Caenorhabditis elegans: one gene and its partner. The protein of the gene in region 1 purifies or fractionates together with the protein of each later gene. This does not show direct contact. Each region holds a gene or a part of one and is shown on either strand. Other genes may lie near its edges. The genes, in order: trmt-6 and eif-2gamma.

Region 1 (4,777 bases):
GTTAACGATTCGATCACCTCTCATAACTTCTCCCAAGTTTTCTGATTTGTATTGGATATCTCCATTTGCTGGTTTACAAAATGGAACCGAGTAGTATTCGAAAGGCATGATATTATTTGAGCTTGTCAGTTTAATAGCCTGTAAATTGCGAAATTAGATTTTAAAAGTTGGTTTCTTAACACTTTTTTCAGACCATGATATTTTTAATCGCGTTGCAGCGATTTTCTTACCTTGACATCGATCACATCTCCGGCTTTGAAATCAACCGGAGCCACTCCAGGCACATAAAATCCTTGCTCGAGAGGTATAAGAGTGGCGAGCACCAAAAGGGTGCTAGTTCGTAAATAAGCCATTAGCTGTAAATAATTTTGAGCTTATTTGAAAGAAAAATGTAATAGGAAGGGAATTAAAAGCAATATATTGACAATTTCTTAACCTAAATATTTGTAAAGCCCGTCAATTAATTAATTAAATTGAAATATACATAGCTAGAACTCAAAATACCGTTTAAAAGAGAAAATATTTCAAATATTTATAATATTCAAAAGCCTAGCAGAAACGTGGATAATCGCGCAAAAGCTTATCGGCTCGGCGAATCTCTTGTTGACACGCATGCGGCGCGGTATTGTGGGTGGGGCTAAATGGCGTGGATTGGTAATTTGCAAGTGTGACGCGCACTTTTTTGCCTATATTTGTTCAGTCAGAATTATGGCATTTTCCAGGAAGATATAATGGTTTGATAAAGAAAATAAATATTGAAGTATTGAACTGTACATATTATTAAATTTTAAGTGTAAAAGATTGAGGAAATATGCAATTTACTCGGAAAATTCAACAATAAAAAATAACAAATAAAATGCGAATACGGTGATCTGAAAAAAGAAAAACAACAATAACAAAAATAATAATAAATTATTGGTCAATAACTTTGATTCCAGTGAGAATATGTCCGCCAGCGACGTGCTGAGCCATTAACGGATGAGTTCTATCAGGTAGAACTTGCATTACACGACACATTTGATCAGTAAGAACTAAATTGATTGTTTGACGCTTTGACAACCAATCGTATGCTGAGATGAGGATCTGGAACAGAAAATAGTTTTTAAAAGGTTTTTTGAGTAACTGGAGCCAGAATTCAGTTAAAATGTAATCTGGTCACTTTAATGTGAAAAAAAGATAATATTTTATATAATTTTTACATTTTGATGAGGAGAGTAGATGACAATCGTCCCAGATGGTGCCAGTTTGGGATAAAGAAGCTCCAAAACACTGATAGGATCGACAGTACGACTTCCAATAATTAAAGAATGAATTTGTTCATCATTAATCAAATCGATTCCTCTCTTCTCCCGATCCAAACGATCATTTCGGCGAGCAAGAGCCTCTAGATCTTGATCCTATAAAATTTAAAAATTTATTTCCATCTAAAACGTTGTCCTAATTTTTCAATTACCTCGATTTTCTCAGGTTCCTTATCTCCATTGACTTCCTCCAAATTATCATCATCCCCATTTACAGCCTTTCGGTTATTGTCATATGGCAGATGTTTGCCTGCTAGAACACACTTAATTCGAACCGGTAAAAATGTGGAAAGTGTGTTATCATCGTAATTCATAGAATGAACACAGGGAATTGATTGAGCTACCGCACCCTGTAAAACCAATATATTTTGAAAGGATGTTTTTTTTCGAAGAATAAACCCTATGAATATGAATACAAGCACCAGTTCCACCGAGTCTTTCAATAACTGCAGAGGTAATAAGTCCAAGTGTTTGTTCAAATACGACGACATTCTTTCCATGGTGAAGCCCTGCCATTTGAAGAATTAATGCTAATTGATCAGCACGAAGCATCGCAAGACGATCAGGATCTTTCAAATAATAAGCTTTAGCCAGAAGACGGATGGTTGGACGGAGGATTAATACTCTGAAATTATTATTCGCAGAAGTAGAAATCGGCAAAACCCCACTTTTATCAATAAAAAACTCAAAAGCTTAAAATTCAAAAATAATTTAAATTTAAAAACAATAGCTGACGTACCGATCACTATGTTTTTTGGCTTTTCGTTTGATATATTTGCTCTGTGAAAAGACAGTTCTTGTCTGAAATGATGCTGAACCTTCAACAAGTTTGGCAACCATTTCCTGTCCACTGACTCCTTGCTTCTTCATTTCCAATACGGCATCCATTTCCAATTTTTGACGTTTTTGTTCGGGCTCAAGTTTAAGTGCTGAAGGCGCGATAACAACACGTGGATCTAAAGATGGTTCCGATGGTTCTGTTACTTCAGGATCTATGGATGAGGTGGCAACGGATGCTTCTTGAAGTTGAAGTTCTTCAATTAGACGATCAACTGACATTGGAAGGCATTGATTATTGGATACTTCGAATAGACCATGAGGCTTTCCAAATGCACTGAAAATATCATTCTTTCATTACAGTATCTTTTACCATCATTGTTCGGGTACCACATACAGTGCCGGCCTAAAATCTATCCAAAACCTTTTTTTTTTAGTGAATTTACAAGTTTTCGAATTTTTATAGATCTTAAAGAAGGAGGAACGGTTCTGGGTATTTTGGACGTATATAAGAAAAACCACAAAATAGTTTGCAGAGCATTCAGTTTACTTTTCCAATAGAAAAAACCACTTTAACCCCATTAATATTATCAGTTGAATCAATTGAACGTAGGGTCTGCTGCCCTTTTCTTTGAATTAATCAAACTGTTTGTCAAAGTGTTTGCACAACGATTTTTAATCGTCGAAAAAAAAGAAAAATTTATAATCGGTTAGTGACAAGGGGCGAGAATTGATATGTGACTTTTGAAAAACGGGGCACGTGTTTTATGTTTAGAATGCACTTTGACGTCACTGTGGTTTTTTTGTGATCAAAGTTTCATTTGAAAGAGCTCGAAAATTGGAAGTTATTCGGAAAATTATAATTAATTTTAGAACTGGAAACCTTACCTATCGGCTACAAACTTCAGCTTCTCAATGAGAATCTTTTGCTTTGGAGTAAACCGGACTATGCGACTTTGTTCGCCATCAATCTGAAAATTATTTTTTTTGCTGTAATTTTGTTCTTCAATTCAATTTTAATGTGAAAATTGAACTTTTTCCAATTCAAAAAATACCTTTTGCACGATAAGATACTCTCCACTTTTTATGAGTTTTTGTGATGTTTCCGCAGGTTCGGTTTCCATGTTTGATCTGAAAAATTTGAATATTCAATTGAAAATCGACGAGACGGCTACGAAAGGCAACAGAGAACGAACGATAAAGTAGTCAAAGAATATCGGGAAAAATGTGATAAAAGAGGGAAAATGAGAGATTGCAAATATTCGAATATTTGTTAGGAGAGGTATTGAATTGGTTTAAAGTTGAACTTTTACATCTTTTTTGAAATAGTTTTTTGTACTTTTAAACTGGGCAGTTTTTGAGTTCAAAACATTTGGAATAGCTTTCTCGGACTATTCAGATGCAATTGGATTCCGGACTGTAAGCTAAGTGTATTTTTTGAGAAAAAAAACTGAATAAGACAAAAAGCATTCAACAAAAATGTTTTTTTTGCACCCAGAAATATGTTTTTCGAAACAAAAACATCAATTGAGCCCAGGGTGAGGGTTTTTAAAAATTTTTTACTAAAAACCGAAATATTTTAGTTTTTCTTTCGATATTTCTAAAAAATGCAGTTTTTCAAAAAATAGCTTAAAATATTGGAAATTTTTATTCAGTTTGGACAAATTTTTTTAATGCTTTTTTTCGTCAATTTAAACAAAATTTAATATAAAATTTATTTTTATGGTTACTCTTCTGTATTTTTTTTTATTTTCAGATTTTTTGAATTAAAATAATTCTGAAATCACCGATTATTATGGGAAATTTGGTATTTCTTTTAGAAAAATTTTTGATGTGTATTGTGTCTTCTGTATCCAATTACAATGTCACAGTTTAGAGGAACAAGTACACAGAGAAGAAACTGTAGAGCGATCAACTGACGAGATGAAATTCAACGTGTGTTCATAATTGATAGTTGATATTTAGTGAACGATCATTCTTTGACGAACAATTTCTCTGTATCTTTTTGATTTGTTTCTCTTTAAATAAGATTGTAAATATAACATTTTTGAATTGGTTTCCATTTTATTTTTGAAAAAAAATCAATTTCCTTGTCAACAATATTTTGTTGATAATTGCCGCATTTCAAAAGAAAAAACTAGTTTTTCGTCTTCTACTCAACTTTTCTATTCTCCACTCTATCATACAAAGAATTATTAACAATACCCTAAACTCATCTTATTTGCTTTTTAAAGACTTTCAACCCACCGATCCGCGATTTGGGCGGTCTCTCGAAAAATTGTGATAAGACGATAAATCATCAAATAGAGATAGAAAGTGGTAGTGACGATAATAAAAGTGTGTGAAGGCGATCTTTAAAGATTGCTTGTTTGCCAACTGCCAACCATTATTGTTATAAAAGATACCCGAATGTTCTGATCAAGGTTACGTTATCAGTGAGGTTTTCCACGGAACTTTGGAGTCTTGTGATCTTTTTCAACTTTTTCTCTCAATCCGGTTATCACACATGTTCAAAACGTATTATTTTTGTTTACCGAAAATAGAAAAGTTCCTGAAATTTCGACTTAAATTTAGAAAACCTGGTAATAATGAACTTATATTATCGAAAAAATACGATCGCACAAATTTCTCATAATTTTGATCTACCTGTTGAACTTGACTCCGCTCCCAATCTTGATGCCGTTGTTATTTTGTTGTGG
Region 2 (5,450 bases), 6.8 Mb from region 1:
TGTCTGCAATTTAAAATTGTATTTTCTTTGGGAAATGTTAAGGACATGGAATTGTCGCCTACATAGTGGAATTGTCGGAATATGACGACTGCGATCGACCCACTTCTTGGCGAAGGTGCTTCGTGGTGGAGGTGCTTCTTCGTTTTTTGGAATGACCGTATCAGAACGGAGCACCATAATTGGTTTCCCGCGTAAATTGTTCAGCTGGAACTAGGTTATGTTTTAGTGGGTGGAAAAAATCGCACAATTCAGAGTATTACCTGCACTTTCTTGCTCCTGTCATAGCCGTAAAGTGACGTTTGAACAGTGTTCGGACCTTCGATGAATTTCGGGGCCGGCATCGCTGAAATTTATCATTTAGAGTGTATGTTTTATCCGATCGAGGCGTTAAAATAAAAGTTTTATACATTTTATTCAGATTTTCGAACAAAAATTTGAGAAAATTGGAGAAAATAAAGAGAAATTCAGATGAAATTCGAAAATTTTCTAGCGGCCTACAACACCGTAAACATTCTACAAAAGTCTCATCGCGGCGAGACCATCTGCGCAAGGAATGAAACCTCCCTTTAAGGTGGGTTACTGTAGCCTGCACTTTTCGTTTTGTTTTTCAAAACCTGAATCTTTGCTGCAATTATAAAATGTATTTCCAGATTTTACTCAAATCCAATAATTTATCGAAAAAACACCAAGCACACTTTCAACAAAAAGAAAAATAATCAATGAAACTGGAAGTGGAATAGTAGGAAACAGGAGGAGGACAGAAAAAAGAACCAAAACAGGGATCCGACAAAATTTTTTGGACTAATAGAGAGACAAAAACGGAGAGAAACAATTGGAAAAGATTAATAATATGTCAAAACCGGTGTAGACAACAAATCGATGATAGCCGCTAGTTCTTGTACGGCTCAACGGTTTGACCTTTGCGAATGGTTCCCCAGCCAATCAGGCGCCAACTCTTCTCGAAACGACGTGACATGGCAATCTTCTCTCCAACCTGAATTTAAATACAAATTAAATTTATTATTTTATAAAAAGTGGGAATTACCTCTGTGCAAATAGGATCGTTTAATCTGATCTTCGCGGCGTCTCCCTTCACAGCAGTAACTCTTCCTCCCGTTGACAACGATCCAATGTTCACCAGCAAAGTCTCTTCCTTGACAAGCTTCTGCACCTTGGCTCCCTTCTTCTTTCCTTCAGTACGAACTCCGAGCAATCTTCTCAGAAGATAGAAGGAGATTTCAATTTCGATGAAGATATCTGGAAGAGTGCCAACGGCTCCGAGGATGTGACCGACGAGTCGATCTCCACGGCAGAGTGTCGGGTCGATCTTCGTTCCAACACCGATGAGACCGCCGGGAACGGCGTATTCCAGCTGGTTCTTTTCGGCAAACAGAGAGTCGATACGGGAGAAGATCGGACGGCATTGGAGTTGACCGGTCGCGGTTTTTGAGACGATTCCCGGGCGAACTTCGATTTCTTGTCCGACGCGCAGAATTCCCTTGGTCAATGTTCCTCCGGCGACTCCTCCCTTCAAGTTTTCAACTTCAGATCCTGGCTTGTTAACATCGAATGATCGGATAATGATGAGACGAGCCGGCGACTTGAAGTCACGGACTGGCACGGGGATTTTCTTGCAAAGATACTCGCAAACGAGCTGAAAAATCGCAATTAATCTAGTATACACGCTCTCCTCAAGCGTTCATAATTATTAGAGCGCGCTCGCGCGGCCCCTCACGAACTCCAGAATTCGCGGGGACAGCAGTTTTAGGCGGCTGTTTTTGGCTTCTATGGAAATTATTTTTAATTTTTTGTTTAATAATATTGTTGAGAAGCACCATCCGAATTGAAAATGTGTAAAATTATGAAATCTGACCGAAAACTGAAGGTTTTACAGAGAGGAGTCACCACGGCTTTCTTTAAAATGTATCAGTACAGTCAGTTTTTCGATTTCAGAGTCGTAGAATATGTTATTTTGTAGAGAAAAGTCTGTTTCACAAAAATCCATGTTTGAAATTTTAAAATTGTTCTTATGAAAAACTGAAAATTTGAAAAAATTAGATTCTAACGTAAAATTGTTGATTTTTTGAATATTTTTATATTAGAAATTAAAAAATTAAAATTTCAAACATGGATTTTCGTGAAACAGACTTACAAAATGACATATTTTACGACTCTGAATTCGAAAAACTGACGGTACTGATACATTTTAAAGAAAGCCGTGGTGACTCCTCTCTGTAAAAACTTCAGTTTTCGGTCAGATTTCATAATTTTACACATTTTCAATTCGGATGGTGCTTCTCAACAATATTATAAATCAAAAAAATTAAAAATAATTTCCATAGAAGCCGAATATAGCCAAAAACTGCTGTCCCCGCGAAACGAATTCCCGCGAATTCTGGAGTTCGTGTGGTGCCGCGCGAGCGCGCTCTAATAATTATGAACACTTGAGGAGAGCGTGGTATATTTAAATCCAGATTCAGATCCTTACATCAACATTATATTTAAGCTGCGCAGAAATCGGGATGACTGGAGCATTCTCGGCGACCGTTCCTTGCACAAATCCGGCGATTTGCTCGTAATTTTCGCGGGCTTGCGACTCCTTGATAATATCGACCTTGTTCTGAAGAATCATCAAATGATTCAGCTGCATAATCTCGACGGCGGCGAGATGTTCAGATGTTTGTGGCTGTGGGCATGGTTCGTTTCCGGCGACGAGCAAGAACGCGGCGTCCATGACAGCGGCTCCGTTCAACATGGTGGCCATAAGAATGTCGTGACCTGGGCAATCGACGAATGAGACGTGGCGAACACAGGTGAATTCTCCACCGCATCCGGCGCGCTCGCATGGGAACCGATCGGGTGTTGATGAACCGGCGGATCTGAATTAGAATTCAAAAATTATTTATTTAAATTAAATTTCAGGGAGATATTATAACCTGTAACATCCTGGCCTTGGGCACTCTTGGTTAGAACATCTGTAGATCTTTGCATTAGCGTATCCAAGTTTGATAGTAATATTTCTTTCCAACTCTCTTTTGAACTTGACAGTATGCACACCGGAGAACGCTTTCACCAGAGTGGATTTTCCATGGGCTACGTGGCCAATAGTTCCGATATTAATCGTGGCTTGTCGAGAGATAACCTGAAAAATAACTCTTTAACTCAAAAATTATTGATTTTCAGTACCTCCTCGGTGAGTGGGTTCAAATTATCGACTCCGACTTTGTCCAAATCTTGTTTCGCAAGCCAGCTCTGGCACTTGTCCTTTTCAGCTTCTAAATTAAGAAAGAATTATGAAATTTTCTTGAAACCGAAAAGCTAACACTTACCAGAAGCCATATTTTTTGTTTTTATGATCCCAGTTGAGTCGATTATTGATCTTTAAAAAATTATCATTATAATTAATCGAAATTACTCAAAATTAATTGAAAATCCATAAAGATTGCATAGAAAACAGGCTAAAATTGGATAAAATTAGAAATGGGTTAAAGGCGCATGGGAGTGGTTGGAAGGGTCTCGATGCGATTTCGTGTGTCGATTTACGAGCTCGAATTTTATGTTTTGCTTTTTAGCGCGAACCAGGCAAAAATCGTTGAATTAACGGACATCTGTATATTTTTCGTATGGAAATATTAGCGAAATTGCTTCTTAAAATTATTTATACGGCATTATAAACCATGTATTCAAGTAAAATGCAATAATTATTCATCATAAATCACCGAAAATCCCAAAATAACAAAAGAGTATCATAAATTAAGCAGAAATGGAGTCCACAAGCGTCTTCGCATTGACGAATTCTGCGGCTTCCTCCGGATAATTCCCAGAAGCAATCGATTCACGGAGGTCGGCCACAGCTTTTTGGAGACGTGATTGAGAATCGCGGACCATGTTGGCAGTTTCCTGAAAATATTTTAATTTCGTATACTCGTAAATCGGATTATTTCAAAAAACCTTAACAATATCCTTCGACTTCTTGGCAACATACTCCTCGTCCTCGTTGGTGGCGTCGGCGGCGAGTTGGGCAGCCTTCTGCTCCTCCTTCACAACTTGCTTCTCGTAATAGGCGACTTCTTTGACGAGACGTTGCACGGTTCCCGTCTTGATTCGGAGCGCTTTCAGCTGATCGGCTTGGGTCGACATGGCGGCGGGAGGTTCTGCAATGTGAATTTTTGAAACAGAGAACGAGATTGTGAGCTTGCTTTTATGGACTAAAAATCGATAGAAAAAGGCGCAATACCACCGAAAATGTTGTGCTCAATGAGCCGAAAAAGGACGGGAAAGCGAGCAGATGGTCAGACACGCTCGGCGATTTCGAAATAAATACAAATTGACCGCTGTCTGTTGGGCGACACAGGTTCCCGCCAAAAAATCGACTGTTCAAATGATTTCGCAATACATACATAGAGAACGAACAAGAAGGATCAATGAAAAATTCTATGAATTTGAAATTAGGTACTGATGGAACGGCAGATGCACCCATGGGGGTACTGCATAAATAATAAAATTTTAAAACAAGACATAAATTTAAAAATTCAGATTTAAAAAAAACAAACAAAAAATAGCAAAATCTAGAAATTTAAAAAAATTCATCAAATATTAAAAATCTATTGCAATCTGGTCAGTTTGCAAATATACATTGGTCCAAAGTTAGAGGGTAGAAACGGCACGACGAGGGCTCCCAGTGGAGTGTCATGGAAACGATAGAGGCCTGATGACGTCATATGGGATACGAGTTGATGTAGGGATTCCTCGACGGTCACGATTCCAAAGTCATTGCGTACGACGGCTACAGCGTTCTCGACGACTGCCTGAAGAAATTTGAATTAGCATTTTTGAGCTGTTATTTCGACAAAAAACCCCGGTCTCGACACGCCAGAAGTACTGTAGCCGCGAAAGTACGCAATCACCGGATCCTACGAAAAAATGCATGCAGAATTTCGGGATTTTTTTTGAGGGAAAATGTTGGGATCGGGCGAGAGTTGAAGCCAGAATCAAATTTTTAAACGGAAATCGTCAAAATTTGAAATTTTGATTTGATTTTCTCAACTGTTTAGTGAAAATTCGAGATTTATAGTGTTAAAAGAAACGATTTCTTCACATTTTAAACTTTTGTGAAACTATCAGAGCAAAATTTGAGCATTTCGGGGTACTGTAGCGGTGAAAATACGCAAACACGGCAGGGAGCGCAAAAAAAAATGCAGAATGCGATTTTTTTTAAACTAAAATTGGAAAATAGCCGAATATTGTTTTGAAAAATTGAGTTTTTCACGTTTTTTGTAAAATTTTCATCGATTTTTCATCAATTTTCGAATTTTTTACAAATCGAGAAAAAACTATATTTGTCATCATTTTTCAAGGAGTTTTTCAAAAATCGATGCAACAAAAAATTTGGAACTACAGTACTCCTTAAAGGCGCATATATTTTCCTATTTAACAAAAAAATTTGTCGT

Evidence for each region.
Region 2: the proteins of trmt-6 (region 1) and eif-2gamma fractionate together in Caenorhabditis elegans (co-fractionation; one large-scale study listed by BioGRID). This does not show direct contact.

What each region holds. Positions count from the first base shown.
Region 1 is NC_003279.8:9,141,168-9,145,944, forward strand, and holds trmt-6 (tRNA (adenine(58)-N(1))-methyltransferase non-catalytic subunit TRM6), read right to left. Parts: upstream 3,210-4,777; 5' UTR 3,203-3,209; coding exon 3,134-3,202; intron 3,050-3,133; coding exon 2,967-3,049; intron 2,416-2,966; coding exon 2,041-2,415; intron 1,927-2,040; coding exon 1,701-1,926; intron 1,652-1,700; coding exon 1,454-1,651; intron 1,398-1,453; coding exon 1,200-1,397; intron 1,084-1,199; coding exon 913-1,083; 3' UTR 804-912; downstream 1-803. Other genes in the region: ZK858.6 (Transmembrane 9 superfamily member), read right to left, coding at 1-138, 231-356, 4,326-4,430, 4,463-4,465.
Region 2 is NC_003279.8:2,311,200-2,316,649, reverse strand, and holds eif-2gamma (protein-synthesizing GTPase), read right to left. Parts: upstream 3,380-5,450; 5' UTR 3,340-3,379; coding exon 3,330-3,339; intron 3,276-3,329; coding exon 3,187-3,275; intron 3,143-3,186; coding exon 2,937-3,142; intron 2,880-2,936; coding exon 2,489-2,879; intron 1,655-2,488; coding exon 1,046-1,654; intron 995-1,045; coding exon 890-994; 3' UTR 658-889; downstream 1-657. Other genes in the region: ekl-7 (PEHE domain-containing protein), read right to left, coding at 1-3, 63-210, 261-341; tbca-1 (Tubulin-specific chaperone A), read right to left, coding at 3,754-3,900, 3,952-4,140; 5-cytosine rRNA methyltransferase nsun-4, read right to left, coding at 4,605-4,808.